Linked DNA regions of Elephas maximus indicus. The protein of the gene in region 1 binds, or shares a complex with, the protein of each later gene. Links are inferred from orthologs where the notes say so. Each region holds a gene or a part of one and is shown in the gene's direction. Other genes may lie near its edges.

The links. Proteins that work in one complex are often made in the same cells at the same time.
Region 2: PFDN2 (region 1) and PFDN6 share a complex: the UniProt entries of both Homo sapiens proteins name them as parts of the PAQosome complex. The link is inferred for Elephas maximus indicus from reciprocal best matches to the Homo sapiens genes PFDN2 and PFDN6.

What each region holds. Positions count from the first base shown.
Region 1 is NC_064821.1:199,927,531-199,931,283, reverse strand, and holds the start of PFDN2 (prefoldin subunit 2), read left to right. Parts: upstream 1-1,144; 5' UTR 1,145-1,181; coding exon 1,182-1,256; intron 1,257-3,753. Other genes in the region: NIT1 (deaminated glutathione amidase), read right to left, coding at 1-95, 363-461, 1,029-1,030. UniProt on the Homo sapiens protein: Binds specifically to cytosolic chaperonin (c-CPN) and transfers target proteins to it. Binds to nascent polypeptide chain and promotes folding in an environment in which there are many competing pathways for nonnative proteins.
Region 2 is NC_064819.1:96,086,153-96,088,776, forward strand, and holds PFDN6 (prefoldin subunit 6), read left to right. Parts: upstream 1-769; 5' UTR 770-1,021; coding exon 1,022-1,085; intron 1,086-1,333; coding exon 1,334-1,404; intron 1,405-1,491; coding exon 1,492-1,616; intron 1,617-1,863; coding exon 1,864-1,993; 3' UTR 1,994-2,031; downstream 2,032-2,624. Other genes in the region: WDR46 (WD repeat-containing protein 46), read right to left, coding at 1-121, 382-525. UniProt on the Homo sapiens protein: Binds specifically to cytosolic chaperonin (c-CPN) and transfers target proteins to it. Binds to nascent polypeptide chain and promotes folding in an environment in which there are many competing pathways for nonnative proteins.

The sequences.
Region 1 (3,753 bases):
TAAAGTTCTGCTCCTTGTCTGGTGTCGATGTTACCTGGCACACAGCCACCAGGGGCAGTTCCCAGGAGGAAGAGGAGATGGCCATGGCTCTGGGCCTGTGAATGGCACAGACAGAATTCTCAGACATCCCAGCATGGGGAAATTCAAGTTTAATGATAAGGGGTTTAAATGGGGAGACAGGAAGGCTGGACTTCCCTTTGATTCTGCTCTTAACAGGGCACACTGACCAAAGCCTAGTGGGTTCACCAATCAAATGTTCTGTGGATGGTTGGCACCCCTGTGTCTCCCCACCATCCATTCATTTAACATTCACTGAGTATCTACTATGTGCCAGGCACTGAGGACACAACAAAACACATTACCTGTGCTGAGCACAAAGTACTGAGAGTCGAGGTATTCGGAGTCCAGGACACAGAAGGAGGGGCAGGAGCTGGTGACAAGGCCTGATGATGAAGCCCAGCCTGAGGAAGATGAAAAATCAGCACACCGATCCCTCCTTGAAGCCATACGTTTCTGGGATTCTCTAACTTCTCCCTTCACACTGTGAGGCTGAATCAGAACCCTGCCAGTAAAAACTCCCAAGTCTTCAAAACACTCTAAGCAATCATAGGCTACAGGAAGAGGTCACAAAGTAGGAAAGTAGAGGAAGGGGCTCTGCTGGGCGCCGGAATACTTGGACTTACAGCGATCTCACATTACACAGAAGCCCTTTTCCTCTGTCAAACGTTTCCGCAGTTCAAAAGTCACCTACAGGAAACTTCCTTGATTTTCCCAGGCCTTTCTTCTCGACTGTGCGTCTGCACAGCTTTATTGACTAAACGCATATTTCCCCCTCACACCGAGAATCTCCGAAGGGAAGTTCACCCTCCCTCGATCCCGGCCACGAGTACCCAGATCCCAACCCGTGCCCCCACCCTCCAGTCAACCCATCCTTCTCCGCCTCTCCCAGGGGCCGCGCCTCTGTTGCACAAGTTAAAGCACCGCAGGTGGAATTCACCGCGGCCGGCGGGACGGGAAGCAGGTCCTACATCAGGATACAGCCGAAACCATCAGCAAGGTCCGGGGCGAAGAGCGGCCTGGAGCCAAAGGCGCCGGAGGCGAGTGGGCGGTAACTCCAAGACCGGACGTGACGCACGGCGGGGGCTGAGCCGCGCAGGCCGGAAACCCAGCAGGCGGCGAAGATGGCGGAGAACAGCGGTCGCGCCGGCAAGAGCAGCGGTAGCGGCGTCGGGAAGGGGGCGGTGTCGGCCGAACAGGTGAGAAGCGGAGAACGCCAAGGAGAACAACCCCGGCTGGGTCCGTAGTTGATGCGAGGAGAGGGGGGCCTGTGGCTCGCATAGGCCTTTACCCGAGTTGCACATTTGCATGGCCACCTAGAGAGGGGAGGGTCCTTGGAAACGCCAGCCGAGCCCCCCGGGAGAGAGTGGGCCGGTGGGTAGGTGAGAGCCACGCCCCGCTGGGGTGATGGGTGAACCTGGGAGAGTGGAAAGCCCTGGGGTGCAGAGCCTGGGAGGTTGCACAAGTCTGAGGGAAGATGGGTCGTCACTTTCCCCACCTTCCCTCTGCACCCCCGAGGCAGGATATGGCCGGGCAAGGCTGCTCATAAGGAATCCTAGGGCCTTAGACAACGGGCTGGTTGTGTAGTATGTTGTTACGTGACCCTGGAACCACGTGGACAATCGCCGCCACTCTGCAGAGCCACGTGACTCACATACTCGAACAGCCTAGTGTTCTATACTAGATTCGGGTGTCATTACTAGATTGAATTTCTTAAGAGACCAAAAGCCTTTTTCTGATCCAAGTTTGCGTTTCTCCCAGTGCTTAGCGTCAGAGACATTTGATAAATTAATCAGAAAGAACCTTTGTGGCTTGGAAACCATGGTTTGCTAATAGTGGGAAAAAAAAATAGTGTTTGATCGGAATGGTAAGAAACCTACACAATAGAAATGAAAACATATTTAAACAGGATCAGTAATCAAGTGGCATAAGGTTGCATTTGAACTTAGCTGTTTTAATTACAAGTTCATTCAATTATTTGTTGAACAGTTACTACAGGCAAAGGTACCTTGCATAAAAAATTTTAAAACCGTCCGGTGCTATCAAAGAGCTGATAGCCTGGTGGGGAAAATAAAACACAGAAAATACTCATATGAAGCAGAAGACAAGTGTCCCAAGAGAGATGTAAAGTGCTATGGAATTTTGGGGAGGAGGGAAGAGAGAGTTTCTTACTTAGGGGCAGGGCTTTGAACCGGTTCTTCCTGGGTCAGTCTTGGCCAAGGAAGCAACACGAAACAGACCCAGATTTTTAAAATTTTGGTGAACCGGAATGATACCCTGAAGGGAAAAAAATAGGTCGAAACCCTGCTAGAAACCTAATCTCCGTCTTAGAAAACAAGGGCAGCATACGAAGTTGCACAGCAACCAAATCTCTTGCCGGTGGGATTTTGAGCGGAGTCAGAAACATTGGTGCCCCTCTCAAAGATGGCAGGAAACTGTGTGCGTTGCTCTCCGCAGTCCTGCCAGTAATCCAGTTTCATGCCTCAGGCTCCTGAGAGGGGTCATTATGCCTTTTTTGAGTCTCCCATTCCAGGGCTTTGACCATTTTTCCTATTCCTAGTTAACATTCCGGAGCACCCAAATTGTAAAAATTGGAGTCTGTTCGGGTTGTGCTTCATTGGCCATGACTGAATCAGTTGGAACTACTTCAGGGCCCTGCTTAGGGGAAAAGCGGGAGGGACGGAAGTAACCTAGTACTTCTTAAGGGTCTGCCATGTACCAGGCACTCTCCTGGGTACAGGGAAACATACAAATGAAATTGTCTTTGTCTTCAAGTAGCTCACATGCTTACAAACCAAAGATTTTCAGTGTGCCTCACAGCCCCTCCTTTATGGTTGCTCAAGGAGTGACCCCTTAACTTAGCAAGAGGTTATGGAATTTTGGGAGCAGGTGGGCAAGGGAACCTGTGGTGTAGAGGGGATGGCTAAGAGCATAAGAACAGTGCACTGAGATCAGACAGCCCGGGGTATGAATCTCATTTCTTCTGCTTACTCTCTATATATGATCTACAATGAGTTCCCTCAGCTTTTCCCATCTGTAAAAACATACTAAATAGAACTGACTTCATCACCGTATGTTGATAATTAGGCAAAACAACATAAAGTGTTTTCTAGAGGAGATTCTTCTTCAGCTCAGTTCTAAAAGATAAATTAGTTAAGCAAAGAAGGAAGTAGAAGATTTTCTAGATAGAGGAAATAATGTATTAAAAAGCACTAAAGTATGGAGTTGCCCAGCAATTTTGGGGAGCAGGTGGACTCAAAGTTTGAGATGGATTGCAAGATTGAGAGTGGAGTAAAAGAGGAATTGCTCTGGTTTTTGTCTTTGGTGGATAATGGTTCTTTGGGGAATGTAGGAGAGTGAACAAGTTTGTGGGGAAAAATGAGTTTAATTTAGGATTTTGAATTTCAGTTTCTCATGGGATATCCCAGTAGAGACATTTAGTAGGTGGTTTGATCTATAAATCTTGATTAATAAATCCTGAGTTACAGAAGGAAATTTGAGTTGGAGATACAAATTAGAGAGTTATGAGCTTATGGATAGTAGATAAAGCCCTGGTTGTGGATGAAGTCATCTGGGGTATAAGAATGGCGTGGAGGCAGCATCTGGCCCCCTCTAACTTCACAAGGGGGAAGAATCATTATTATCAGTGTCAACAACCCAAGGCTGATTGCATGTCTCCACCCTCCAGCCTTTTTA
Region 2 (2,624 bases), on another chromosome or scaffold:
GAGTGTTCTTTGTTCTCCGGCGGCGGAGCTCCTGCTTCCTCTTCTTGCTACGAGAGGGTCCTGGGGAGGCTCTAGCAGCGGTCGGTGAGGTCTCTTCTTCCTCCCAGTATCGCCGAGGTTTCTACCGGCAGATGAGGGACCCTGATGCTCCGCTACCCACGACCCTTGCACCCCCGGACCCTGCAGTTAAAAAATTCCCTTCCCTTCCCAGAGAGACCTCTACCTTCCTCTTGGACTGAACTCTATTTTTCTTCGGTGGGACATCCCCACCCGGCTTGGGGGCAGTCTCCATCAAGCCCACCAGATGATGATCCACGTGCAAACTCCTCTCAGCTGTCCCACAGTAGGCTAGGAAACCCCCGGAAGTGCTCTGATCCTCACCCAATGAGAGCCGTATACCAGGTCTGAAGCCCTCTGGCGCCATCTTAAGTGAGGGTGAGCGCTCCTTTGCGAGGCGGGGTTGTCTTGGCTATGAGTCGGAATCGACTCGACGGCAATAATACGGGTAGTCCTTCGCACCTCCATCCCGAACGGCAGTTTTTGCTCTAGTAATAATGCCACTGTGGATTAAAGAACGCCAAATCGCGGCACCAAGTAACAGTGAAGTTTTTTCCATCTAAGTTTTCCCATCTTGCCTAAAATCTTCTCAGTCCAGTCTTGTTAGCAGAACGCCTCTCATCACACATGTCAGAACCACACTTCCCGGCGTGTCTCAGAAGGCAGCGTCCGGCGCCGTCTTTTCCCAGCATTCCTTGTTTACTTCCGGGGTTAGTAATTCTAAAGGGAGAACGTGAATAGGGCGAGCTTTCGACTGAAGGGGTTGAGGTCTCGTTTCACCTTATTCCTTGGGGCTGGGACAGAGTCGATATTCGCAACGGGGAGAGGTTGCGGTGTCCTGAGGGGCTGCTTCTCAAGAGTGCTGTCTGTTCCGCCGGCCAGGCCAGGAAGGGAAGCTCGGGTACCTTCCAGAGTGTCAGACCCAGCGCCCCTCTCCCGCTCCTCGCAGGTTGTTGTCCCCGCCATGGCTGAGCTGATCCAGAAGAAGCTACAGGGAGAAGTGGAGAAATATCAACAGCTACAGAAGGGTAAGGGAGCAGGGTCGGTGTGGCCTCACCCCAATCTCTTCACTCACGCACAACCCAAAACAGTAACCAAGACAAAATTTTTCTGCCCCACCCACGCCCCTGTGTGAAGCCCCATCCCCTCCTCAATATTCCCCGTATCCATCGACCCATCTTTGTCTATTTCTTCAGCTCCATTCTCCTGACTAGGATTGTAAGAGTCGGGTGGCACATTTGATGTCTCTCATCATGTTTTTCCTTCCACTTCCCAGACTTGAGTAAGTCTATGTCAGGACGGCAGAAGCTTGAGGCGCAACTAACAGAAAATAATATCGTGAAGGAGGTGAGGGACTGGAATTTATGGGGCGGGAAGTGACTGGGATTTGTGGGGTGATGGTTCTGATCGTATATGTCCCTCTCCTCTACTCAGGAACTGGCCCTACTGGATGGGTCCAACGTAGTCTTTAAACTTCTGGGTCCTGTGCTGGTCAAACAGGAGCTGGGGGAGGCACGGGCCACAGTGGGGAAGAGGCTGGACTATATAACCGCTGAAATGTGAGTCTGTCCCAAACGCTGTAATGCAACTGACACTGTTGGAGTAGTTGCTGAGGAACCATTGTAGAGCAGCTCTGCACAGTGGCCCCTGATTGTGCAGTCCTCCACATCCTCCTTCCCTTTTAACCCTCCATCTCCTCCCTCCCCTAGATCTCAGCTTTGCCACTTATCTTTCTTGCTTTCAGTCTTTCAGTAGTCTCACTAATTTTTCCTTTTCTGTTTCTTTGTCTTCCTTGCCTCTCCTCAGTAAGCGATACGAATCCCAGCTCCGGGACCTGGAGAGGCAGTCAGAGCGACAGAGGGAGACCCTTGCTCAGCTGCAGCAGGAGTTCCAGCGGGCCCAGGCAGCAAAGGCAGGGGCTCCTGGGAAGGCCTGACCCTGTGGAGGTGGGGGGAGGGTGGGGAGGAGGGAATGAGGCAGCTCTAGATCTATACTGTAGCTAATAAAATGTGAAAACACTTGGTTCTGTTTTCTGACCAGCTACTCTGTCAAGTTTCTCTCTACATATTCTTCTGGCCCCTTCCACCTTATATGCCACTTACATTACTGTCTGAGGCCCATATTTTTGCAACTGGAGTCTCTCTTGGCAGGGCAATCTTTTCCTTCTTTCTTGAAACCAAAACCTGAAAGGTCTCAAATTTGTTTCTTGCCTGCATTTACAACCCTTCACATTCCCTTATCTTGGTTGGCGTGACCAACCAAGGAAACATGGGCAGGGCGTTTACAATGCAACATAGTGTTAGGAATATCGGTTTAATTGAAGAATCACAGTTCTCTAACCTGAGACCTCAGCATGAAATGTGGTTACCGTCCTTGCTATGAATACTTGTCATCCTTCCAAGAGCCATGGCATCTCTTTTAGTTCTTTTTAGTCTGTTTTCTTAGAATTTGTTTGTAGCTTAAACTGATGTAAATTCCCAACGTGCCTTATGGTTTGTAAGTTCTCTAAGCTCATGTGTTGCCCACAGGATTGTTCTTTCATCTCTGTTCTCAAATTTTTTCCTAGA